7 linked regions of the Cricetulus griseus genome follow. The protein of the gene in region 1 purifies or fractionates together with the protein of each later gene. This does not show direct contact. Links are inferred from orthologs where the notes say so. Each region holds a gene or a part of one and is shown in the gene's direction. Other genes may lie near its edges. The genes, in order: Ncbp3, Thoc6, Thoc7, Thoc1, Ddx39b, Thoc5 and Thoc2.

Region 1 (3,994 bases):
TAGACTAGGAGAGAGGTCTAGAGAGGACCCAGACTTAGCTAAAGGTGAAACAGGAGGAGACAAAATCAGCACTCATGACAAGTCAAGAAGCCCTTCCTCTTTCCCAGCCAGACTCCTCCTAGAAACGTTTGTGAAGTCTTTGATCGGTAGAGCCCCCAGACGTGAGAAAACGGGGTCTAAAGTCTGTCTCTGTCCTTTGGGGTAGATCACTACTACCTTGGAGCTCTCTCCCCCTTTAAGATAGGGTCTTCTGTAGTTTAGGCTGGCCTCAAGCTAGCTATGTATTGGAGGGTAACATTGAATTCCTAATCATCCTGCTTCTATCTCCCAAGTGTTGAGAATACAATGGTGTACTACCATGTCTCACCTTGGAGCCCTGGATGGCCTGGAACTCACTACCTAGACTAGCATGGCCTGGAAATCATAGAGGTGCACCTGCCCCTGACTCCTGAGTGCCGGGATTAATGCATATAACCCTATGCTGGGCCCCAGCTTAAATTTTTGACTACATAAAATGGCTCAGTTACTGGAAGACTTGTCAGAGGCAAGGTTTCTAAACGTTCAGATTGCCAAGAGATGATAGATTCTATGTAGTTCATTCTGGGCTCTGAAGCCCGATTGTCGAGGCTCAGATCCAGGTAATCATTTAAATAGCCTATACCTGAGGAAAACTATGCCCCAGTTTTCTCCTACGTGGAATGAAGGTAATAAAATCTTATTCGTAAAGTTGTAAGAGTTCAAGTCTTGGAAGTATTGGGCGCATGGTCACTCAGTAGTTCTTAAGAGTATAGTCCCCTCCGGTCCTTGGTGGTGCACGCCTTTAATCCCAGCACTCAGGAGGCAGAGGCAGGTAGATTTCTGTGAGTTCGAGACCACCCTGGTCTCCAGCGCAAGTGCCAGGACAGGCTCCAAAGCTACACAGAGAAACTGTCTCGAAAAACCAAAAAAAGAAAAAAAAGAAGAGTATACTCCTCAAAATGCAGGTATTTTGGAACCTCAGACGACGCCCCGCCTCCGTCTCGGTTTGGTCCTGCCCACTCCTCGCGAAATCCCAACCCAAACCTGCCCCAGGTTCCCGGGCAATCAACGGGGGCGCCAGAGATAAGGACAGCTTTTTGGTAGAAACGGGAGACGCTCTGGCTGCCGGCGGCTCTCCTCTGTGGTTGGCGGCCGCGGCGCTCTAGGAGGCGGGTTGTGAGGGGCGGGCTTTCTGTGGTGCAGCCGGCTGGCAACTATGGCGGCCGTTCGCGGCCTGCGAGTGTCTGTGAAGGCAGAGGCCCCGGCTGGGCCCCCGGCTTTGGGGCTTCCGTCGCCCGAGGTGGACTCCGGCTTGGAGCGTGGCGAGCCGGAGCCCATGGAAGTGGAGGAAGGCGAGCTGGAAATCGTGCCGGTGCGGCGCTCGCTGAAGGAACTGCTCCCGGTACGGGCGAGGGGCGGGGGTTGAGGAGGAGGTCGCCGAGCGAGTGTCCCTTGGAGGCGGGGAGGTGGCGGACCGCGGCGCTGGCGCAAGTCCGAGAACCCGGAGAGGGGCGCGAGCGCCGAAGGGCGGGGGCCGCACTTGACCCGGAGAGAGCCGGAGCGAGAGAAGGGACACCCGGGCGCCCGGAAATGGGTGCAGAGAGCGCTGGAGGAGGCGGAGGGCTGCCAGAGAGTTGGGGGACACCCCTGTCGCTGCCCCGCGGTGTCGGCCGGTGCCCCGGAGCGATGAGCTGTGTTCGGCTGGAGATAAAAGGGAGCCGCGGGCGGGAACAGAACCTGGAACAGCTCTGAAAGGAAGTGTTAGGTGGCGCTGGCATCCAGGTCTCCTGCTGGGTCCTGCCCCAGCGGAGTTAGTTGTCTGTTAAACATGACAGTCGCTCTTCGCTTGAGAGGGCCAGACCTGTCAAGCAGCAGACACTCGTGTGGTGGTGTTGTGGGTGAGGGTCCCCATGTCCCCGCGCACCTTCACTGCACCTACTCGCAGGTCCCGGCTTCTGACGCCCGGTGACATTTCATCTACATTTTACCACAGTGGGTATGAGGAGGACTGTTTTGCTTGTGGTTTGGTAGTCGTATGCCCTGTTTTAAAAGCTAGTCTGGGGCCTGGATAGCTCGATTTTCACACACAACATGCCCCCACCCCCACTTAATTCCACGATAGCAAGTCTTGCTTTTACATTTGACATTATGAGTAAAGGGTTATACAAATGGCAATGACTTTTGTAACAACACAATGACAACTTTAGTATTTTTCACATTATGTCATTAGATTTTACTGTATTTGTGACTTAGGTGTTACCCATTCATTCAGTTTAAGTATCGCACCCCCCCACTACGTGCTAGACATAATCCTAGGTGTTTGATTAAAATCAAACTCCCTCTTGGAGTTTTCCCTAGTAGGGGACACAAATTAAACAAATAGTTTCCTTTTGTGTTAAGTACTATGAAGAAAACACACCCCTTTAATAGAAAGTACAGAGGCCGGGAAGGGTGTGAAGCAGTCAGTGTCTGTCAGGGTGTGTAGAGAAGTCCCCTGAGATAGATTTAACCATAACCCTACATGACAAGAAGGGGCAACCGTGTCAGTTGGAAGGGAGCATTTTCTAGCAGGAATGGCAGCAAGCACAGTGTCTCTGAGATGGAAACAAGATTGTTTTGTTGGGGTACATTAAGCTCAAAGGGGAGAGCAGAAGTCAGACAGATAGACAGCATAGAAGAAAGCAAGGCTCGGATGTCCAGGGTATTGAATGCAGAGCTGAGACTTCAGCCCTCACTCTATCCGTTTCCCCTCCTTTTTTCGTTGTATTGGGATGTATTTTTCTCAGATCTAGGACTTCGTGCATTTTTGTGGAGGTATTTGCTCCATCTAGTGGCCTTTCATGGGGAATTTGTCCAGTCTGGGTTGGGGAACAACTAAGTGACTATCTCATTTTTTTTTTTTTTAATTAAGCTATACATTTTTCCCCACTCCCCTTCCCTCCCCACCTCTCCCCTTCCACCCTTGCACCTGCTCTCCAAGCTCCCAATTTACTCAGGAGAGCTTGTCTTTTTCTCCTTCCTAGGTGGACCCATGCATATCTCTCTTAGGGTCCTCTTTGTTACCCAGGTTCTCTGGGGTTGTGGCCTGTAGGCTGGCTGATTGTCCTTTGCTTTGACTATCTCATTTTTGACATTTTCCATAAATGCCTTTAGAGTTTCCTTTCTGTAGATACTTTCAGTTGACAGAATTACTCAATATTTTGAACAGTTCCTGTCTGGGGTCTGGAAAAGACTTCCTGTTAGAATTGTTGATTGCTAATGCAGAGTTTCAGAGATGGACTTCCTAATAACACAGGTGTTAGGGTGGAGAAGGGCTGCTGAAAAGAATGACTTCAAAAAGAGCCAGATATCAGGCTGCCTTTAACTGTGGATTTTTCTCCCAGAATTTCCCATCTTTCCTCTTCTGTTAGGACACAAGCAGAAGATATGAGAACAAAGCTGGCAGCTTCATCACTGGGATTGATGTCACCTCCAAGGTAAGACAGACTGGGGTTATTTATTCAATTTGATAAGCAGGCAAAATTAATACTTGGTCCTTAGGACTTAGAGGATAGTAAATATTCTTTGCCTCCTTTTTTATTTTGTTGCATATATAGTATATTATCAAATATCTATATTCATCTATCTACCCAAGGATGCCCTTGAATATCCTGAAGACATCAAAGCAGCATTTGTGTATATCCATGAAAAGATTATCACTATACTTAGATGACTGTACTTAACCCCTTTCAAGAAAAATGCTTATTTTAGTATTTATTATTACATATGATGTTTGTGTGTCTGTGTGTAAGAGTGTGTCCATGATATAGCACACATGTGGAAGTTAGAGAACAGCCACAGGTGTTGGTTCTCACCTTCCATCTTTTTTTATAATTAATGCTATTTTTAGATTTATGTATATGAGTGATTTGCCTGCATATATGTAAGTGCACCACATGCAGACCTAGTTCCTGAGGAGGTCAGGAGAAGGCTTCAG
Region 2 (4,106 bases), about 44 Mb from region 1:
CATGATATCCCCAGCTGGGGATGCAGGGTAGTAGGGACTGGGAGTATCCCCCAGCCTCAGCAGTCTGAGGGCCTCAGGGATCAGGCTCCCGGGATAGCGCCAGAGAAGCAGCTCTGGGCAAGGGCTCCTGAAAGAAGAAGAGAGACAGTGAAAGTATGGGGCAGAGGCTGGCCTGGCAGAGCCACCTCCTACCAGGTCCAGATCCCCTGGAGCCAAAGATGGAAAACAGCACAGAAGTTGGCTAGAAGCTAAAAATAGCATGATGAGGCAGATCATGAGGAGGGGCTCTGAGGACCGAATGTGATTCTCTAGAAGGCCCTGCGAGGGGAGGTGCCTACCTGAGTGGTGGCAGGGCTTGGGGAAAAGTCACAGGGGGACTGCAGTAGGGGTGGTCATTATGTAGGCTGAGTCGGGAGAAGTGGGTGGCCATGTTCTCCTCAGACAGAAACTGCTTGTGCAAGGGTTCCCTGGGGGAAAGACCAGAGAGGAACAGAGGGTGGAGGCAAACTGATGAGGACCAAAGGTGACATCTAAGGAGACCCATCTGCCCCCAAACTTAATGCTCCTCCAGGGGTTTCCGTGCTCATGGGCACAGCTCCTAGGAGAGGGGAGCTGGGAAATAGAGCCAGGTGTAGCCCACCCTCTCTCTTTACCTGAGCTTGCAGAATAAGCCAGGATTCCAGAATCAGTCTTGTCTGTGTGGCCTAAGCCACTTTACTCTCTCAGGCCATCATCCACCAGGCTACCTCGGAAATCCTGACCGTGGCTTCCCAGTTCCAACACAAGCTCAAACACCACGGTTTCCTGTACCACCTTGCCTCTCTTCCCAGGATCACCCTACTGACCGGCCCTGGGCCCCCAGCCAAAGCTCTTGCCCTCCGTTAGTCCGGCCCACGCAGGGGCCGCTTACGCACCTAGCGTCCAGGCCGCGAGTCACCCCAGTGGTGGCCCGTGGATCACGATTTGGAGGGCCTCGCTCCAGGGGCTGTTGTAGGATCATTACGGTCCGGGGTCCTGCAGATAGAGGGGTGGGATCCAGGCGGCAGAGGCGGAGCCTTTGAGGGCGTGGTACAACGCGAGGGGCGGGGCTACCGGCGTGCTCACTGGAGACGTTCGACGCAGGCGCGGAAGGCGAGCACCGCGAGGTTAGAAGGCGGGACAGGTCGGCGGGGTGGGGGAGGGGATTCGGTGTAGCTGGGCAGTCCTGGACGCTACTTAGCGTAAGGGTGCTTCGCAGAGTTCCCCTAGGTTTCAGTGGTTCGAGACAGCACCGACCTGCCGCCTTAGTTGTTGAACGGCCGACAGTGCCAGGTCCTGGGGCGCAACGAGAAGAACCACTCTCACGCACGTAGGGAGTCGAGAGGTTGTGTCGCGCCTAGAGCCCTCTGGGACTTGTAGTTCTGAAGATGGATCACGTCGCACCGTCGCCGGTGCCTCTGGGTCAGGTGAGTCGAGTGTGCGCACAGTGCCTTCTGGGGTTTGTAGTCTTGCCATGACCTGGTGGCCAAGAAATACTCGGACTCTGACTCTGACCCCCCCAGAATAGTGATCCCCGGTCCTTGGGATCTAATAGTGACATAGGGACTAAATGTCAGTACATTTTACTGTGAAGGATAATAAAGCCACTTTAAAAAAAACTAGCCGTTGGACGTAGTTCCACACACCTGTAATGCCAGCACTGGGAAGGCAGAGGCAGACATATCTCTGTGAGTTAGAAACTAGCCTGCTGCATAGTGAATTCCAGGTCATCCAGGGATACATAGTGAGACCCCAACTTAAAAAAAAAAAAGTTTAATCATTGTACATGAGCCTTTTTTAAAACCCTGGGCCTTAGACGCAGTAAGAACATGCTCTGTCATTTAATTATACCCCAGCCCAAGAACTGCTTGTTGTTTGTGAGACAGTGTCATATATCTCCAGCTTTCTTTGAACTTTGTTATATAATGGAGAATGACCTTGAACTTCTGCCTCCCTCTGAATGTTATGGGCTATTGGGTGTGCCATAATGCCCAATATATACAGTGCTGGTGCGCAAACACAGAACTTTGGGTTAGAATAGGTTTTAGCGGTTGGAAAGATGGAAGAGGACCCAAGTTTGGTTCCCAGCACTCAAATTTCAAATCTTGTAATTGCCTGTAACTCCAGCTCCAGGGGATCTGCATCCTTTTGCCTGTGTGGACACCTGCACTCACTTGCACACACTCCCCTCACACACATATACACATAATTAAAAGCAATAAAAATAGAATCTTTATTTTTTTTTTCCAGACAGGGTTTCTCTGTGGCTTTGGAGGTTGTCCTGGAACTAGCTCTTATAGACCAGGCTGGTCTTGAACTCACAGAGATCTGCCTTGCCTCTGCCTCCCGAGTGCTGGGACCAAAGGCTTGCGACACCGCTGGCCGGCTAAAAATAGAATCTTTAAAAAAAAAAAAAAAAAAAAAAAGAGAGCATAGGCTTGTTGGTGGTGGAACATGCCTTTAATCCCAGCACTCGGAAGGCAGAGGCAGGTGGATCTCTATGAGTTTGAGGCCAGCTTGGTCTACGGAGATAGTTTGTGGATAGCCAGGGATTACACAGAGAAACCTTGTCCCCCCACAAAAACAAAAAACAAACAAACAAAAGAACATGGTCTACCCATTGAGTAGTTACCTTTTTTTTTTTTTTAAACAAGTTTTCAGGAAGTACAGCAGGCTGGCCTGGACCTCATAGAGATCTGCCTGCCTCTTCCTCAAGTGTTGGGATTAAAGGTGTGCCTCCACGATAGGCTCATTTATTTTCTTGTAAGATTTATTCATTGTTTTATGTCTATAAATGTTTTCCTAGCAGTTGTATGTGTGCTATGTATGTTTATCATATCCTCGGAGGCCAGAAGAGGCATCACAGGGGGCTGGAGAGATGACCCAGTGGTTAAAAGTGCTTGCTACTCTTCTGGAGGTACCAAGTTCAGTTTCCAGCATCCATATAGGAGTGGGTTTACAGATGCCTGTAATCCAGTTTCAGGAGACCCAACAAGCTCTTTTAGTCTTCATGGGCACTGGTATACACAGCACACACACACACAAATTGAAAAAAACAAAACAAGACCTAATGACTCAGTGCCTTTAACGTCAGCACTTGCAAGGCAGAGGTAGGCAGATCTCTATGATGCCAGCCTGATCTACATAGAGAGTTCTGGTACAAAGAGGGCTTCTTGTGAGAACCTGTCTGGAGGGACTGGGGGAAGTGACGTCAGCTCTCCTGGAACTGGAGTTACAGATGGTTGTGATCTGGCATGTGGGTCTGTAGGATTCTCTGCAAGAGTAGTGCACACTTACCTGCTGAGCCATCTTTCCAGGCACACCCCCCTATTTTAAAAATAGATTTATTATTTTTATTCACTTAGTTTTTTGAGACAGAGTCAACATATTTCAAGCTGGTCTGGAGTTTGCCTTGGAGTGGGGGAATGTCCTCCTGCCTGCAACTCCTGAGTGCTGAAATCACAGGCCACAAGTGTGTGCTTGTTTAATGCAGTGTGCAGTGCTGGGGACTGGTGCATGCTAATCAAACACTATCAGTTCAGTTACATCCTCAGATGTGTGTATGTGTGCGTATTTGAGACTGTCTCGTGTAGCCCAGGCTACCCTTGAATTCACTATGTAGCTGAGGATAATCTTGAATTTCCTCTGATCTTCCTGCTTCCAACTGTTAAGTGCTGGAATTACAGTTGTGCACCTACTAAACCTGGCTACAAAGCTCTTACTGTTCATTAGTTACCTAATTATGACCAGCGTTTCCTGGGAGTGCCATCTGTCTACTAAGCTGACAGGAGAGGCTTGGTGCTTGTTCTAAGTGTTAGGTACTGTGCCCCTGTTCTCCTTTTCTCACTCTCTTCCTGGAGCCACTCTTGTATGGGGAGATGCCTGTGGCTGTGGCTGAGCAGGGCTGAAGTCTGGGCAGGGTAGACAAACAGGAGTCTGCAGGAGGAGGACCCAGACCTCCCAGAATCTCCTCATCCACCCTCTTCCCACAGGCTGAGGTAGCGCAGGCCCTGCAGCGCCTGCACATGACCATCTTTTCCCAGAGTGTCTCGCCCTGCGGGAAGTTTCTGGCAGCTGGCAACAATTAC
Region 3 (4,291 bases), on another chromosome or scaffold:
AGAAATGCTTTTTAAAAGCATCCTCTCACTACCTGACAGCTTTCCATTAAACAAGAAATCTCCCTACCAAAGTGTTGGGGCACCTATGCAGCCCTAGCAGGCCAAAAACTCCATAATTAGACCCAGACTGTTGTCAACTCACAGACCTGCCAGCCCAGATGGGATTAAAGGCATGACTACCACTGCCCTGCTGAATTTAATATTACTATTATCCTTCCTCTTACTTCAAGGAAATGAACAGGTTCAAAGTCCAAGTTATGAAAGCCTTTAGCCAATACTCTTTCAAAGAGTCAGGGACTGCAGCTTCAGTATTTAGAAGAGGTCAGTTATGCCTGAAAATCTTCATTCAAGATTAATTTCTGTCTCTGTGACAAAAGTCCGTAATGTACTTGACATATAATCCTGCCAAGCAGCAAAAACCACTTCACTAACATACATTGAATGGTTCCAAGTTTTCTGCTAAAGAACTGAGGGAATTCTGGGCAGATGCATAGACCCCACTTCAGAAAAGTAGTCTGAACCACCAAACTGACCCCCCACACAATTGCTTTATGCAGGATCTGAGGATGCAAGGGACTTGGGAATCACGAAAACTGGAAAACAACAAAAACCTGGGTTCCAAAGTCGAGCACGCTTCTGGGTGTAAAGCTGTCCTGCTGGATGTCAAATCAACCTTACCAGGGGTTGTCTCTCACCACTTACATGGTTCCATTCAGGAGACACTCATCATAGTGATTTTTCTGGAAAGATGACAATATAATCTGCAGAGTGCTCCAGCAATATGTACTCTACACCCCAAGCAACGTTTTTCAATGAGCAGCGCCACCTCCCCCAACACCTTCTACTTTCAACTTCCCTTTAAGAAGCATTTTTTTTTTTTTTTTTTTTTGAAAAGCAGAGATAATACGAAAACGAAGGCACCCCATCTGGATTCTGGCACCGAGGGAGAACTGGGTGAGGGGCAAGGACGGCAGGGACTAAGCTCCTGGTTCTGAGCAAAGTACTCCCAAAGGTCGCCAAGTTTCTATCCCCCACTTTGCCAGCACCTGCCAGAGCTCAGGAAGGGAGGATGGCTTTCCGCGTCCGCCTCAAGGACCCGGGTTCGAGACCCGCCGGGGCGCGCGTGGGCGCCAACTTGGCGACAGTCGCCGCGGCCCCATGCCAACGAGCTAGTGGAACCCGGCGGCCGGGGGGCGGCGGTCACCCGGAGCGGCAGGCGCGGAGCCCCCCGAGCGCGCGCAGCCCGGAGCTCACCTGGCGGCTGGCCGCGGCCTCCAGGGCGGCCTGTGGCGCGGGCCGGGCGGGGACGACGGGGTGCGCGGGCCGAGCCGCCGCCGGCCGCCCGCCTCGCCCTTCACCCGCCGGCCGCTCCGCGCCCCGGGAGAGCAGCGAGCGCGGGCTGCGCGGGTCGCGCGGCGGCGGCGGCGGCGGCGCGGCGCAACTCAGGAGTCGGAGAGGCGGCCGCGGGCGCCGCCGCCTCCTCCTCCATGACTGTTTACCCGGCTGCATTGTGGGAGTTTGACCTCCGTCGCCAACCGCCGCCTCAGCTCGCGCGCCGCCGCCGCCGCCGCCGCCGCCGCCGCCGCCGCCGCGCGCGCACGCCATGGGAGCCGTGACTGACGGTGAGGCCGCCGCGGGGTGCGGGGACGCGGGGCAGCGCCGAGATCCGGGCCGTCCGGGGTGGGGGCTCCCGGGGCGGCCGGGAGCGACGGAGGGCCGGGCGCCGAGCCCGGGGAGCCCGAGTGATGCAGTGCGCCGAGGGGGCCGCCTGGGGGGCTTCCCAGGCCGGGCTGGGTCGGGCCCACAGGCCGTGCGGCGGGCCCCCGGGGGCCCTGGAGTTCGAAGTGAGGTGGATTGCGGGCACCGAGCTGGGGACAGCCTCCAAAAGGAATAGGGGTGTCCGGAAGGCCGGTCGGGAAGTGTATCTGGGCGACTTACAAGGTAAAGCGCCCCGTGGGATGAAGCCGGCGGCTTAGACCGCGACCACTGAAGGAGGGCATGTTGGGGAGGGTGGTTTGTAGGCCTGGATGAATTGAGGGTGATGGATTGTGGACAGCTGTGGTCTGTGGACTGAGAGCAGAAATAAGGGGGCATTTCAGGGAGGTATGGACAGATGCGGCGGGAAGCTGGAACAAGAACTTAACATCGGTACCTGCTTTTGGTAGAAAGGTTTCTGTGGCTTGGAGCTATTCTTGAGAGGGTGACCAGTAGCTATGGGTACCAGTGGACTGACATCCAGAGAATGGGAAGAACAACTCAAGACCCAAATTTGAGGACTGTTGGAGGAAAAGTCTAGGTAGGGATAAATAGAGGAATTTTAATCTTATTTTATTCCAGTTTCGTTTATTCAGTAGGTATTTTCCGTACTTCCAGGCAATGCTTTACTTATATTTTGCAACCCAGAACAGGCAAAGAAGTTTGCTCTTGTATGTTTGCAGTTTGGATTGACTGTAAACGTTAAATAATTGGGGTAGGGTAGGGGTGAAGGTATGGTGTGTGTGTGTGTGTGTGTGTGTGTGTGTGTGTGTGTGTGTGTGTCTGTGTGTGTGTGTGTGTGTGTGTGTCTGTGTCTGTGTCTGTGTGTGTGTGTCTGCCTGCTGCCCTCCCTGCCTCACCTGTTCCCCAGGCAGGCCACCCTTCCCATGTGGCAGTTAGGGGACAATTTGCTGAAGTCACTTCTTTCCTTGTGGGTCCTGGGGATTGAACTGAGGTTGTTGTTGATCTGTCTCTACTGGTGATTAGAAAACTTGAAAAGACTTCCTTCTCACCCCCATTCCTTTGAAGGATGAATGGATATATTAGGACTGGAATTACAAATGACCAGTCATTTATACAAGTCCCAAAATGCTGAAAGAAATTAAATATGTCATGTAGTAATTAGCTAGAACTTAGAAAAAGTTAAGCACCATGAATTTTTAAGGTCAGGGGAAGCCACTGGAAATTTTGTTTGTTTGATTTTTAATTTGGTTTAGTTTGGGATTTGGATTCTTTTGAAATGAGGTCTTCCTAAATGTATCCTAGGCTGCCCTGTAACTTACTATGTAGATCAGGCTGTCCTGGAACTCACAGAGATCCCCACCAGCTTCTGATTCTGCCTCCTAAGTGCTGGGACCAAAGGTACTCCATGTCATATCAAGACAAGTTTTAAACATTAGTGCAATGTTTAGTGCAACATTAGTGATCAGATCTGCTTATATTTAATTACTTGAAGTGTTTTTTTTTTTTTTTTTTCAATGCTGAGGACAGAACCCATGCTCCTATTCATAAGAAAAGTGTTACATCCTCATCCTGATCTACGTGATTTAAAGTGCACATACCCATTCTACTGTGTGGAGAATATTAAGGAAATTGGAAGGGAGGTGCTGAAATCACTTTCCCCTTCAATAACATAGTACTTGTAGCATGTGTGGTGCAATGTTCTAATTATCCCCATTTTATACATAAAACTGATAACCTAAGAAACTTGTCCAGAGTTGTAGTGGTAGTAAGTTCCAGAACCTGGGCTTAAAAACCAAGCCACATCCTGTGTGTGTGTTTTGTCTGCACGTGTGCTTGTGTACCACATGTGTCTGGTGCCTGTGGAGTCCAGAAGAGTGCTGGGAATTGAACCCATACCTCTGTAAGAACAGCCAGTGCTGTTAACTGCTGAGGCATCTCTCTGACTGGCTAATATGCACTGAGCTCAACTCCTGCTGCAGTAGTGCTAGTGAAAGGTAATTGGGCCAGCACTCCAACTAAGGGGATTCAGTAAGTGAACTGGTCAGATGTGCTGGGATGTCAAAAGATGATCTTATGTTTCTTATTTGTGTGGATCTGTGCCTTGCTCCAGAGGAGTGATGAATTTTTCAGGTGAGAGAAGGGAAGGAATGGTGAGTTACAAACTTACCAACTGCAGCCCCCTAATCCTTAGAAGCCATAGGAATCCCCAGTTGACAACTACCAGCTTCTGACCTTGTGGAGGTTACCTAGCTTCTTTGAGGCTCAGTTTTGCTCTCTGTTAATTAAGCTACTAATAAAATCTACCCTGGAGTGCTGTTTTGGAAGTAAAGGACATTGTACTGAATCACACACATGCTAATGTTCAGTGAATCTTTCTAAATACAGAGTACCCTTCCCTGTCTTGTTATGAGGGAAGGAAATTGAACTGAAGTAAGAACTAAGTAATCAACAAATGTGAGATGCTAGCTAGGTACAGAAGGAAATTAGAGGGAGAGGGTGCTGGAAGGGGAGCATACATGCCTCTGTGTTAGTTGGATTAAACTAAGACCCTTTTGTATGCTATGCAAGCACT
Region 4 (3,500 bases), on another chromosome or scaffold:
GTTTGCCTTTTGCTTTGCTGTCCCCTCCACCCTAGATTTCTGGGGTAACTTTTAAGACTCACCATCTTTTATCTAAAGAGTTTCATGTGACAGTATTTTTAGGTAGGTGTTTTGGAGTTGTGATTTAAAGGCAGGGGCTCTCGTCAGAATGTGTAAGTTCCCATCCTTGTGCCTTTTCTCATTTGCTAAATAATAGCCACTCATTTCACAGAGTTATTCTGAAGATTAAATGGTTCGTTTTGATCCATATACAGCATGTTGCTGACACATGATATAAATGACTAGTTTTGACCCCATGATACGTTTTTACATGCTCCAACCTCTTAACCAGTGTGTTCTATTCTCCATGCACCAGAGAGTGATCTTTTGAATATATACAGGGAAGAAAAATGTATCAGAGATTAAGGGTGCTGGCTGTTCTTTCCAGAGTCTGAAATGACATCTTCTGGCCGCCTTTGGCATACACAGATAATCATGCAGGCAAAACACCCATATACATAATAAAAGTCTAAAGTATACAAGAAATTATGTTGGGCATGGTTATACACACCTTTCATCCCAGCACTCAGACACAGAGGCACGTGGATTCTGAGTTTGAGGCCACAAGTCTACATGGTAAGACCTTGCCTAATAATAAATACATACATACAGACAGACAGACACAAAGGGCAGGCAAGGTAGTAGCACACACACAGAAAGAGTGGACATGGGAGCACATACTTATAATCCCAGCACTCTGGAGGCTAAAGCAGGAGGATTAAGTTTGAGGTTAGTGTGGCTTATAGAGTAAGATCCTATTAGTAAAATACGCACAAGTCTCATCTCGTGCTTAAAATGAAGAGTGTATATCAGAGTTAATAAGAGGCCACCAAATAAACCAGATTGCAGATCTGTGCTAAATACAAAGAACATAACAAAGCCCAAGATAGAATCCGTTTATTGGGGGCGGGAGTCCTTAGGATTTCTCATAGGTTCTTTTTCCTCACCTTCTGATTCTTTTCTTGACATCAGTGTGTCACTACTGTGGGTACTGGATATTTGCTCTTTTGACATTTTGAGCCATTTTTAATCATTGACATTGAAATTAAGTGAACTAAAGATTAGCTGTTACATAAACACAACTCTAAATACAGGTCCCTTATTGAAAATACTTGCGGCTGTGTTTTCAGATTTTCCCCCCCATATTTGGAACATTTTAGACCCTAGCAGGTAAGCATTTTAAGAAAAGTTAAACACTTAAGGTTTTAGGTTAGAGATCTCCAACTTGTATTAGTTACATTAACATGATAAACTCGAATTTATGAAATACTCTAAACTCACATATCTGTAGGTAGCAATGCAGATACAGATACCAACCAACTCACCAAATATCATTTTTCCTATCTTTCCTTTTCTTCTGTATAACTGGATGAATAGTTTCTATGTAGCCAGGGGTTGAGACATAGACCACTGACTTGCTAAAATAAGCAAAATATATAAACTTTCAAACTAAAGGATGGTACAAAATGTCATGTGACATGGAAACAACTATGGAAGTGGATAATTATAAATCCAAGGCTAACAACTCCTCTTACAGAGCTGTGAACAATTCAAATTATGGGTGGAGAGCTCTCAGGCTCTTAGCACGAAGAAGCCCTCACTTCTTCCAGCCAACCAACCAGCAATTTAAGAGTCTGCCAGAGTACCTGGAGAACATGGTAATAAAGCTAGCCAAGGAACTACCAGTAAGTGACATACTTCATTTTTCCCATTTCCTTTAGTAGACATTATCTGCTTTAAAACTGCTATCAGTATTTGAGCAGAACTCAAATTTTAGTGTATCACACAACAGTAGTAGTGGGGGCGGGGGAGGACACACACAACTTGAGGCAGAGGTTGTTGTTGAACATTCACTTAGGGAGAAAATGTGAACCAAGAGTGGTATAATTTTCTGTGCAACACCCAATTTATCAACATGTTGGAAAAAGCTACTGCCTGCAGTAAATTGGATCAGTTTTTGCTCTTACCAAATGTATTTTACTATATTTTGTCAAGAGCAGGGTCTAGGAGTAGCAGTAGGGTACCTGGCAGTGTTTTCTTATAGTACGGTAACCATAGACATGGTTAATCTCTATTGCCCCTTAGACAATACTGACTAAAGCCTAGGTGTTTACCAACCTGCTTGTTCATGCTTCTCTGTCTTCCTTCTGCCCAAAATGACAGGACCTACAGGTTGAGAGGGTCTGAGGTCCATTAATTACCTATCTAAACTATTTCCTGTTATCTTCAGAAACTAGTGTTTTTTTAAACACCATTGTTTCTCATTTACTATAGCCTCCTTCTGAAGAAATAAAAACAGGTGAAGATGAAGATGAGGAAGATAATGATGCTTTACTGAAGGAAAATGAAAGTAAGAATTGAATTTTTGAATTGAAATTGAATTTTTTGGCTATTTCACAAAACTGAAAAAGATTAGGGTTCTTTGTTGAGAGGTACATTGTATAATTTGGTCTACTTCTCAACTTCTACCATTTTATCTCAGTTTACAGTGAGATTAAAGCCATTAGTCACTTAAAATACATTTTATATAGGGAAATTTGGAAATAATTTTAAAGATAAAAAAGATGGGTGTTTTAAGGCAGAGCCTTGAACTCTGCTAATTTAATTGGGGCTAGAAGGAACATCTCTATGGGAAAATCTTCCTAATTAATATAGCTTTGAGCTGGGCGTTGGTGGTGCACGCCTTTAATCCCAGTACTCGGAAGGCAGAGGCAGGCGGATCTCTGTGAGTTCCAGGCCAGCCTGGTCTTCAGAGCGAGTGCCAGGATAGGCTCCAAAGCTACACAGAGAAAAACCCTGTCTCGAAAAACCAAAAAATAAAAAATAATTGCCTGAATTGTGATTTTTTTTTTTCCTAAGAAGGTATGTAACCTATGTAGAATTAAGTTTTAAAGTAAAGCTTAATGTGACTAGTAACCCAGTTTTTTGTTGTTGTTCTTTAAGCTTTGCAGGTCTTTCAGATAATTTATATCCTCTTGTCTTCTAGGCCCTGATGTTCGGCGAGATAAACCTGTAACAGGGGAACAGATAGAGTTATTTGCCAACAAACTTGGTGAGCAATGGAAGATTTTGGCTCCGTACTTAGAAATTAAAGACTCTGAAATTAGGCAGATTGAGTGTGACAGTGAAGACGTGAAGATGAGGGCCAAGCAGCTCCTTGTTGCCTGGCAAGATCAAGAAGGAGCTCATGCAACAACAGATAACCTGATCAGCGCACTAAACAAGTCTGGATTAAGTGACCTTGCTGAAAGCCTAACTAATGACTCCGAGACAAATAGTTAGCTTGCTTTCTTTTCTTTCTTTTTTATTAAACTGTGATAAGATTTTGTTACCAAGCGGCATTTGATAAGAGGTCCAGTGGTTTTGGTAAACAATAAACAGTTTTATAACAGCTGTTGCACAGTTGGTTAGTGCTTCAAGAACTACAAAACAGGCACTGTCTAAACCTTAGTTTGGAGTAT
Region 5 (3,500 bases), on another chromosome or scaffold:
CAGGGGTGAGGGCTCCAGAGAAATGGAAGGTGCTGAGGGTCGGTCAGGAGTTAGAGCTCAGAAGGTGCAGGTTCTGTTGTGGGTGTGGGAAAGAGCCTGTACTTCTGTTGGCCAGCACAGTGTGTTCATCCCTCACCTCCCAAGTATAGACGGTTTGACTCTGAATTTAGAAAAATCCCTTCTAAAGCTGAGTAGTGTGTTGAGTACAAGGTGTCTCACAGCTTGAGCAATGTGTGCTTCTCTTTAATAACTTCTACCTCAACCACCCGAGAGCTGGGATCACAGCATGCCACTAAGGCCCAGGTTTTGAATGGCGTTTTTGGCTGTGTCCATTGCAGCCTTCTGGTCTTGGACATTTGCTGAAGTGCAGAGAGGACAGTTGAGTGGGGCAGTCAGCCCTGGCCTGTTGTGGTGTCGATGCCCAGGCCGGTTCACTGCTGCCTCTGCTGTGTGTTCTGACTATGCTGTCCCCTGGAGTACCATCTCCATTGCTCACTCTCCCCTGGAGTACCATCTCCATAGCTAACTCTCCCCTGGAGTACCATCTCCATAGCTAACTCTCCCCTGGAGTACCATCTCCATAGCTAACTCTCCCCTGGAGTACCATCTCCATTGCTAACGTTCCCCCATCAGCTCTGACACTGGCACCTTGCAGCTGGGAGCTTCACCACTCTGTGCAGAGTTCCTTTCTCCTCTGACCATTCTCAGTTGAGCTTAAAATTCAGCTGCTGCAGATACTGCCATACCTAACTGGAAAGGGACCTCAGTACAGAGCGTTCTTGTGATGGGGAGGGCTTTTCAGTCTTCTCTCTCCTCCCCATCAGTCCATGGGGTGTATTGGAGACCATCACCCTCCACCCCCCCAGGTTTAACCCCCCACTCTGCCCTCCTCCTGCCCCCACCCCTCCTTCCCTCAGCCTATGGAGATCTTCGTGGATGATGAGACCAAGTTGACGCTGCACGGGTTGCAGCAATACTACGTGAAACTGAAGGACAACGAGAAGAACCGGAAGCTCTTTGACCTTCTCGATGTCCTCGAGTTCAACCAGGTCAGTATTGAGGGTCTGTGTGGTCTTGAGCACTGGGCATCCCCAGCCGTGGCAGAAGCCTGTGGAGAAGTAGCCTGTGATTGAGGAGCCAAGGGTGTGAAGGTGTGAGAGACAGCTGAGGTAGAGTCCGTGATGACTTGAGTGAGTGGAGGAACGCATTGAGCTGGGTACTGACGTGGTGGCTCTGCTGTTGTCTTTTACAGTCACCCAGGAGGAGCAGTGTCAGCCTGTGCTCAGCTGGCTGCAGAGCCCTGTGGGGCTCTTAGTGTTTCCAGAGGCTCATCTGGTTTTCTAGACTGTAGTTCACATCCTACCATCTTCCTGAGGGCGCCTCACCCGTGTGTGTGCCAGTTTGAGGTCTTGTGTCTGTGGCAGCTCACACGTCAGGCTGTTGAGAAATCTTGGCCTAGGCACACGCCTTAAGTTCAAGAGAGGAAGAGGACATTTGTGAAGAGACATTTGAGACAGAAAAAGGGCCTGAGAAACTCGTTAGAAATTCTGCCAGGGCGGGTTAGTGGTGCTACCCACCTTTAATCTCAGCTCTTGGAGGCAGAGGCAGGCAAGCCTCTTGAGTTCAAGGCCAATCTGGTCTACAGAGTGAGCTCTAGGACCGTCAGGGCTACACAGAGAAACCAAAGAACCAACCAAACAAAAATTCACCAGGTGTGCTAGTATGGGAGTCTTAAATCCCAAGCTGACTCTGTGTAGTCAGAGCCAGGTGGATCTCTGAGATCAAGTGTGGGGTCAGCATCGTTTATATAATGTGTTTGAAGACAACTGGACCTCAAACGCCCTGCTCTTCAGAGGATCCACACCCCCTCCCTCCCACCGATGCCTGTAATTGGCCCCAGCAGATAAAGATACAGATACAAATACAGCACACCCTTCTGGCCTTGAAGGACACCTGTATACACCTGCATACATTCACACAAACATACATATATATAGATTTATCAGTAGTGATACCACTGGGGCTGGGCTGAAGGAGTGGCTCAGAGCCCTGTGAGGATGGCTCAAGCCTTTAATCCCAGCACTCTGGAGGCAGAAGCAGTCAGAACTTTGTGAGTTCAAGGCCAGCTCATGTACAGATCAAGTTCCTGGACAGCCAGGTTTACACAGAGAAACCCTGTCTCAAAAAACAAAACAGTGACTCAGAGGTTAAGAGCACTCTTGTTCTTCAGGGCTCCCCAATTCTCCATAGCATGTCAGTTCCTAATCATGTGACTGCAGTTGGTATGTGAGGAGGGTCCAGTGTCCTCGTTTGGCTCTGCATAGGCGTCAGGCATGAATGTGCCTACACTTACATGCGTGCAAATCACCCACACACACAAACTTTAAAAACCATTAAGAGTTGAGATGACTGTGGAAACTTGTATGTTCATCACTCCCGTGCTCCGCAGGTGGTGATCTTTGTGAAGTCCGTGCAGCGGTGCATCGCCCTGGCCCAGCTTCTGGTGGAGCAGAACTTCCCCGCCATTGCTATCCACCGCGGCATGCCCCAGGAGGAGAGGTGAGTGAGAAACAAGGGATTTGTGCTCTGGGGAGGAAGGGGTGTGGTGAGAAGGGAATCTCAAGCTTCTCCTCTCCTTCCTCACAAAGGCTCTCTCGGTATCAGCAGTTCAAGGATTTCCAGCGGAGGATTCTTGTGGCCACCAACCTGTTTGGTCGAGGCATGGACATTGAGCGTGTGAACATCGCCTTCAACTATGACATGCCAGAGGACTCAGACACCTACCTGCACCGGGTAAGCTGCCCGCCCTCCCCCTCTTCCTCTGTGTGCCTGCGCTCATGCACACGCTGTCCCCTTCCCTTGTATCTCTGTCTCCCCTGTGAACTTGTGATCTTCCCTTTGTCTCCTCCCAGGTGGCCAGAGCAGGCCGGTTTGGCACCAAGGGCTTGGCCATCACATTTGTGTCAGATGAGAATGATGCTAAGATCCTCAATGACGTGCAGGACCGCTTTGAGGTCAACATCAGTGAGCTCCCCGATGAGATCGACATCTCCTCCTACAGTGAGTGCACCCCCACCATGCTGCCTGCTGCGTACGTGCGTGTGTGTACATACCACAGCATGTAGAGATCAGAGGACACTATTGGGTGTCTGTCCTCCACCCTGTGGGTTTCCCGGCGTGAACTCAGGTTGTCAGTTTTAGTGACAGCACCTTTGCCCTCTGAAGCATCTTGTTGAATCCTGCTCCCTCTTTCCTTGTTAGTGCCTCATGTAAACCTCTGGGTAGAGGCCTCTGGTGCTGAATGGCCCTTGGTTGCTGGCTGCCCTCCTGGAGTTTCCATGCTCTGGTGAGGGACGCTTGTGTGGGGTCTTTATCCGTCTCTTTTCTCCAGCAACAGGGAGTGTTCCTACTCCCAAGAGTATCCTCTGAACCTAGGACACAGCTGTGGGGAGAGAAAGGGAGGGAGGGAGAGAAATTTAAATTTCTCCTCTTTTGTCTTA
Region 6 (2,459 bases), on another chromosome or scaffold:
GTGTTGGCTTTGGTATGGTGTGGAGACCATCGTGGGAAGCTGGGTGATCACTGATTTTCTCCCTTTCCTCTGTTCCCAGCTAAACTTCAGGCTGCTGTGGTATTGAACCCGGGCTACTCCTCCATCCCACCCATTTTCCGACTCTGTCTAAACTGGAAAGGGGAGAAAACCAACAGCAATGATGACAATATTCGGGTAAGACCCACATGTGTGTCAGGAGGAACAGGGAGAACCCCTAGAAAGGTGGGCAGTGGCCACGCCTGCAGCTGCTGAGGCCATGTGCTTCAGTCCCAGAATAGGAGCTTACAGGATTTATAGAATGTGCTCACCCCTTAATTTCCCTGAGGCCCACAGCTTTTCCCACTCATCAAATAGCATTGTTAACTGGGTGCAGCATCCTTGCACTCCAGGGACTTAGAACTCACTAAGGGAGATGAGGGAGAAAAGACAGGCACACAGAAAGCTCAGAAAGCTGGAATCCAGTGCTCTGGTCTCTCAGCTGGAGAAATCTTAGTCCACCCCCAAGCCCAGCATGTTTATTACATAGAGTTGAACATGGAAGCGGGGTCATGGTACACAGATGGACCAAGAAGGCAAGGTTAGCTAATCCCAGTAGGAGCAGGCTCCAGGCCGTAAATATGCAGGGGGTATAAAATTATGGTTGATCAACATTCCCATTTGGATCAGAAGGGAAGGCTTTCCCATTCCTTTTAGCCTTATGTGGGGGAGGGGAAGGCTTTGCCATACCTGCGTGGATGTGAGGTTAGGGTCCCAGCTCATGATGACAACACATATTCACTCAGGACTTTATACATACTCATTCTGGATTTCATACACTCAGGGTTTCCTCTGTTCCCTACAGCAAGGCATGGTACTGCACACCTTTAATCCCAGCATTGGGGAGGCAGAAGCAGACAGATCTCTGTGAATTCAAAGCCAGCCTGGTCTGCATAGTAAGTTCCAGGCCATCCAAGACTACACAGTGAAACCCTGCCTCCAAAGAAAACAAAAAGTTTTCTTAAAATCTTGTCACCTGGGGCTTCTGTGAGATGGTAAATAAACTCTGGAAACATTACAGAAACACTCAGATTCAATGACAGTGAGTGTGCTGAGACTGTTGTTTAAGGCATTGCCTCTTGACAGGATTTGGTAGCCTATGGCCATAGATCAAGTTTTTAAAGCCTAGTGCCTTCTGACTTGGGACTTAAGATTTATCCTCTACAAACCTGTAACCCTTGCTGTAGGCATTTAGGGGAAATCCTTATAATCAGGGGTCTCTGGACAAAGCTGTGGCACGACTCTGTGTGTGTGTATGTGTGTGTGTATGTGCACTCAGGGGCCAAGTGTAAGGCTTGTGGTGTTCTCAGGTACAGCAATGAGGTAAAAGCCTGGCCAGTGTGGTAAAAGCCCATCCATACTTAGGAAGGAAATGCTGATGTGCTGGCTTCCCACCCATACAGGCTATGGAGAGTGAGGTCAACGTGTGCTATAAGGAACTGTGTGGCCCTCGGCCCAGCCACCAACTCTTGACCAACCAGCTGCAGAGGCTGTGTGTGCTGCTGGATGTCTACCTGGAGACGGAGAGCCATGATGACAGTGTAGAGGGCCCCAAGGAATTTCCCCAGGAGAAGATGTGCCTGCGGCTTTTTAGGTGAGTAGAGGGCTGGGCTTTTGTGACTCCTCATGAGGACATGGACAAAGATCAGAGTCCTCCAAAGACTAGGTCTCATTGGAAGGGCCTGAAACAGAGGGCGCCTGTTTCCATTCATGGCAGAAAATTGTGCTGCCATATTGCCAAGAAGAACGTGTTTTCTCCTTCCTGAGACTTACCTGCAGCTGGCTCACCTGTTCTTGGTCACCCCCTGGAGAAGGCCATCCAACTAAGGAAATTGCACCAGACCATGCTAAAAAGCTTTGGCTAAACTTGAGTGTTTTCTGTGGAAACAGCAGGGCCTGTTTACTTTTGATACCCAAGTGAACACTTAGGGTGGTACACCCCACAGTCCTAGTGAGCTTGCTGGCATCTTTGAGTGTTCTTTCCTCAGTGAGAAAAGACAGAGGGCATCCAGGCAGCATAGAAAAAAAACAAAACAAAACAGAGCTTCTAGAAGGCCAGCAGGTGAGCACCCTAAAGACAGAGTAGTCCATTCTGCCTAGCACCAAGCCCTTGGTCCTAGGCCTGAAGAGGAGGAGAAAGACCTTCTATGGGGTTCAGGGTGACTCAGATAATTTTTGTGACGTTTCTAGATGATTCCTGCTCCAAGTTAGGGTCTCAGAGTGTGTTAGCAGGCCTTGGCAACTTGTTGTGTAGAGTGTCTGGGCTTGCAGTACCTCAGGGTAGTTTTCCATTTTCTTGGGTGTTGAGGTTTTCTTTCCTGTTTGTTCCCTAATGTGGTTTATTTATTCTTTTTTTTTTTATTTATTTAAAAACTCTAGAGATGACTGTTAGATCTCCCTTC
Region 7 (3,500 bases), on another chromosome or scaffold:
ACGTTAGCAGATGTCGTTCTGCTCATCTAAATTCATATTAGTTACCTTCAGCAAAATCTATTTTCTAAATTTAAAATCCTTTTTACCCTAGTACTGGTCTTGGTCTCTGATATTATACCTTGTATACTTTCCTACAGCTAATGTTTTTGTAGCTTTATCAGTTCTGTTGTTAATAGCATATTCTCTAGCATGGGAATACAAAGAAATAAATAATCCTACTTCTAGAAAAATTACAAGATTCCTGGATTCTGCTTTGCATGCCAATGAATGTAATGGTCTTAACATGCTTTTAGTCCAGCTGAGATTATTCCTGTCAGTGCAGAACTGAAGCCGAACCTTTATAGATGATCATCTGGTTTGGGGTCATATGTTTATCATGAACTGAATGATTTCAGTATTTTTCTACTATAAAGAAACAACTGGTTGTGGGAATTTTTGATTCACCTTAAGCATGATGCCTAAACCAAGTAAAATTTTCTTGGCAAGAGGTCTTTCATCATAAAATGGCTGAAAGGCATGAGGTAGTATATTAACTTTCTTAGCTGCATTTGACATATATTCTATGAACTAAAAATTATGTCAATATCACTGCACTAATAGATTCATCTTTACCTCATGTCATTAAGAATATAGCCTTCCTCTGATTCTCTCCTTAATTAGGACACGCCAGTCAGGACAAAAACAAAACAAAACAAAACTGTAGCATCAGTTCTTACATGATTTCAATTTAATTTACCACAGGTACTTATGGAAAATTTTATTTGGCTTGGCAGTAGACTAAAGTAGCTGGTCGCTCTGTCTGGAATGTTGTCAGTTTCAGCATTGAAGTCTTGCATTCTGGGAATCCCCTAAGTCTCTGGCAAAACTGGACATTTGGTCACTGAGGTAGTAGTCTCAGTAACTTTTTATAACCTTTCTTAGTGGCATTCCAGCTTCTTGATACATGCCCTATTGGAGTCAAATTTTATTGAAAAAAAAAAACCTTCTAGTTAAAAACATGGAAACTAAGGATTGGAACGGATTGCAGAGATAATTTGTCTTAGAATAAGTGCTCTTGGTAAGAAACTAGAATTATCATTACAGTTTTGTATAAGTATATATGATATGTTTTAACTTTTTATCTCCAGTCAAAATATGATGAACTTAAAAAATCGGAAAAGGGAAGTAAACAGCAACATAAAGTCCATAAATACATTACGTCATGTGAGATGGTGATGGCTCCTGTCCACGAAGCAGTGGTCTCCTTACACGTTTCCAAAGTCTGGGATGATATCAGCCCTCAGTTCTATGCTACCTTTTGGTCACTGACAATGTATGACCTTGCAGTTCCACATACCAGCTATGAAAGAGAAGTTAATAAACTTAAAGTCCAGATGAAAGCGATTGATGACAATCAGGAAATGGTAAGTTTTATTGTAGCAACACAAGTATAATAATTGTGACTTTTATGTAGTATTGTCCCTGCTTTGTAATTATTTTAGTTCAAGATTCTTGATTCTACAGTTTTGTTGCTGTATATTATTTTAAGTGGATTTAATGGCAACGTGTCAATGGATTTGGCAGGATCTTAGCAAATGGATGGAAAGTATGATAAAAACATTCATGTCTTTTCTACTGAACACTGTCATAGCAACCTAAGGTGATTAGTTTGACGCTTATTTCAAGAGCAGTAGGAGTTCCCAAAGGATTATAAATAATCCAGCAAACACAGGGAGTAGTATGGGGTTTAAGGAGATCTCCTTTATTCTACTGAATGGCCTTGATCATGTACTTGAACAATGAGGTTAGTAACAAATTAGGCAGGGACTGAAAGTCAGGCAGAATAGTAAATATGATACAATTGAGGGCTTGTTTAGATACTTCAGCTGGGGAATAACATGTAAAAATGGTACTTTAGAAAGATTATAAGAGCAATCTGAAGAGTGATTTTGATAAGCGGAGGATCTAGTCTAAGGCTGTGTATCTTTTGGGGTAATTGGCTATGTGGTACTGAGAATGTAGGCTATGTTAGAGACAGTGTCAATACATATGACTTGTAAACAAGTGGAATATTTGAGTGAAGGAAAGTGAAAGATGACTTCATTTTTGCCTCAGAATGATACCACCACTGTTACCTAGGTGACCTGTTCAGAAGGTGTCTGAAGACTAGGTGACACTGATTGAATGTGTTGAATGGAAGGAAAAGTATTCAGGAATACCTACTTTATAGTCATGCTGAGATAATTATAAAGTGTAATCATTTTTCTCTTTAAAAAAAATCTTAATTACATGAAGGGAGGCAATGTAGATAGTTAAAAAGTATGTGACTTTACTTTGTAGCCCCCAAATAAAAAGAAAAAAGAGAAGGAGCGTTGCACAGCCCTTCAGGACAAGCTTCTAGAAGAAGAAAAGAAACAGATGGAACATGTTCAGAGAGTTCTTCAGAGACTGAAATTGGAAAAAGACAACTGGCTTTTAGCAAGTAAGTTGTTGGGATTGTACATTCCTGCTGCTGCTAAATTGCAAAAGCAAACATTTCTAACTTTGGAGGTGTTCAAGTGATTACATTGATTGATATTCAGCTCAGTTCACTGTTCCCTTCTTTAGTTATTCATTACAGCGGAATCAACTTCATGTATTCACCAAAGTGACTGATGGTTTAGTTGGCTATTGAAATAAAATTAGCTTATGATAATATTGGCAACTTAGTATTCAAATTTTCTATATAGAATCATATTTATTAGAAATTGTAGATAGAAAAGTATTGATAGAGTAAAAGTGATATGAATCTTTATCCCATAGTTTGTGGTTTTATAGCATTCTGTACACTACAGTTAAAATGTTGTGTTTGGTATCCTTGAGGCACTTGGGGAAAACGATTACTGCTTAATATGTTCCTCTTTTATTTTTAGAGTCAACCAAAAATGAGACCATCACAAAATTTCTACAGCTGTGTATATTTCCTCGATGCATTTTTTCAGCAATAGATGCTGTTTACTGTGCTCGTTTTGTTGAATTGGTACATCAACAGAAAACTCCAAATTTTTCCACACTTCTTTGCTATGACCGAGTAAGTTCTTGTTGCAACCTTTAAAAACAAATCTTAGACAAAGACAGCTAAATATTTATTATAAACTTCAAATGTGGACAACCATGATCCTTTTTTTTTGAAACAGGGTTTATCTGTGTAATAATAGTTCTGGCTACCCTGGAACTCATCTTATCGAGCAGGCTAGCCTCGAACTCACAAAGATCCACCTGCCTCTGCCTCCCCCTCCTGACTGTTGGGATTTAAGACATGTGTAACCACGCCCAGGTGGAATAGCATGATCTTGTTTTTTGGGGGGGGTTTCTTTTTTTTTGTTTTTTTGTTTTTTTGTTTTTTTGTTTTTTTTTTGGTTTTTTGAGACAGGGTTTCTCTGTATAGCTTTGGAGCCTATCCTGGCACTCGCTCTGGAGACCAGGCTGACCTCGAACTCACTGAGATCCGCCTGCCTCTGCCTCCTGGGTGCTGGGATTAA

The links.
Region 2: the proteins of Ncbp3 (region 1) and Thoc6 purify together in Homo sapiens (co-immunoprecipitation; 3 studies listed by BioGRID and IntAct, with this or other methods). This does not show direct contact. The link is inferred for Cricetulus griseus from reciprocal best matches to the Homo sapiens genes NCBP3 and THOC6.
Region 3: the proteins of Ncbp3 (region 1) and Thoc7 purify together in Homo sapiens (co-immunoprecipitation; 3 studies listed by BioGRID and IntAct, with this or other methods). This does not show direct contact. The link is inferred for Cricetulus griseus from reciprocal best matches to the Homo sapiens genes NCBP3 and THOC7.
Region 4: the proteins of Ncbp3 (region 1) and Thoc1 purify together in Homo sapiens (co-immunoprecipitation; 4 studies listed by BioGRID and IntAct, with this or other methods). This does not show direct contact. The link is inferred for Cricetulus griseus from reciprocal best matches to the Homo sapiens genes NCBP3 and THOC1.
Region 5: the proteins of Ncbp3 (region 1) and Ddx39b purify together in Homo sapiens (co-immunoprecipitation; 4 studies listed by BioGRID and IntAct, with this or other methods). This does not show direct contact. The link is inferred for Cricetulus griseus from reciprocal best matches to the Homo sapiens genes NCBP3 and DDX39B.
Region 6: the proteins of Ncbp3 (region 1) and Thoc5 purify together in Homo sapiens (co-immunoprecipitation; 3 studies listed by BioGRID and IntAct, with this or other methods). This does not show direct contact. The link is inferred for Cricetulus griseus from reciprocal best matches to the Homo sapiens genes NCBP3 and THOC5.
Region 7: the proteins of Ncbp3 (region 1) and Thoc2 purify together in Homo sapiens (co-immunoprecipitation; 3 studies listed by BioGRID and IntAct, with this or other methods). This does not show direct contact. The link is inferred for Cricetulus griseus from reciprocal best matches to the Homo sapiens genes NCBP3 and THOC2.

The regions. Positions count from the first base shown.
Region 1 is NC_048600.1:86,818,150-86,822,143, forward strand, and holds the start of Ncbp3 (nuclear cap-binding protein subunit 3), read left to right. Parts: upstream 1-1,194; 5' UTR 1,195-1,234; coding exon 1,235-1,420; intron 1,421-3,428; coding exon 3,429-3,494; intron 3,495-3,994. UniProt on the Homo sapiens protein: Associates with NCBP1/CBP80 to form an alternative cap-binding complex (CBC) which plays a key role in mRNA export. NCBP3 serves as adapter protein linking the capped RNAs (m7GpppG-capped RNA) to NCBP1/CBP80.
Region 2 is NC_048600.1:43,199,643-43,203,748, reverse strand, and holds the start of Thoc6 (THO complex subunit 6 homolog), read left to right. Parts: upstream 1-1,306; 5' UTR 1,307-1,406; coding exon 1,407-1,445; intron 1,446-4,010; coding exon 4,011-4,106. Other genes in the region: Hcfc1r1 (host cell factor C1 regulator 1), read right to left, coding at 1-127, 339-467, 915-1,000. UniProt on the Homo sapiens protein: Component of the THO subcomplex of the TREX complex which is thought to couple mRNA transcription, processing and nuclear export, and which specifically associates with spliced mRNA and not with unspliced pre-mRNA.
Region 3 is NW_023276807.1:171,880,540-171,884,830, reverse strand, and holds the start of Thoc7 (THO complex subunit 7 homolog), read left to right. Parts: upstream 1-1,491; 5' UTR 1,492-1,603; coding exon 1,604-1,622; intron 1,623-1,772; exon of another isoform or gene 1,773-1,941; intron 1,942-4,291. UniProt on the Homo sapiens protein: Component of the THO subcomplex of the TREX complex which is thought to couple mRNA transcription, processing and nuclear export, and which specifically associates with spliced mRNA and not with unspliced pre-mRNA.
Region 4 is NC_048595.1:236,160,915-236,164,414, reverse strand, and holds the end of Thoc1 (THO complex subunit 1), read left to right. Parts: intron 1-1,576; coding exon 1,577-1,724; intron 1,725-2,313; coding exon 2,314-2,389; intron 2,390-3,025; coding exon 3,026-3,321; 3' UTR 3,322-3,432; downstream 3,433-3,500. UniProt on the Homo sapiens protein: Component of the THO subcomplex of the TREX complex which is thought to couple mRNA transcription, processing and nuclear export, and which specifically associates with spliced mRNA and not with unspliced pre-mRNA.
Region 5 is NW_023276806.1:231,776,165-231,779,664, forward strand, and holds part of Ddx39b (spliceosome RNA helicase DDX39B), read left to right. Parts: intron 1-917; coding exon 918-1,049; intron 1,050-2,449; coding exon 2,450-2,559; intron 2,560-2,648; coding exon 2,649-2,793; intron 2,794-2,912; coding exon 2,913-3,060; intron 3,061-3,500. UniProt on the Homo sapiens protein: Involved in nuclear export of spliced and unspliced mRNA. Component of the TREX complex which is thought to couple mRNA transcription, processing and nuclear export, and specifically associates with spliced mRNA and not with unspliced pre-mRNA.
Region 6 is NW_023276807.1:99,973,201-99,975,659, reverse strand, and holds part of Thoc5 (THO complex subunit 5 homolog), read left to right. Parts: intron 1-79; coding exon 80-195; intron 196-1,460; coding exon 1,461-1,651; intron 1,652-2,459. UniProt on the Homo sapiens protein: Component of the THO subcomplex of the TREX complex which is thought to couple mRNA transcription, processing and nuclear export, and which specifically associates with spliced mRNA and not with unspliced pre-mRNA.
Region 7 is NC_048604.1:26,148,732-26,152,231, forward strand, and holds part of Thoc2 (THO complex subunit 2), read left to right. Parts: intron 1-1,127; coding exon 1,128-1,403; intron 1,404-2,319; coding exon 2,320-2,461; intron 2,462-2,891; coding exon 2,892-3,049; intron 3,050-3,500. UniProt on the Homo sapiens protein: Component of the THO subcomplex of the TREX complex which is thought to couple mRNA transcription, processing and nuclear export, and which specifically associates with spliced mRNA and not with unspliced pre-mRNA.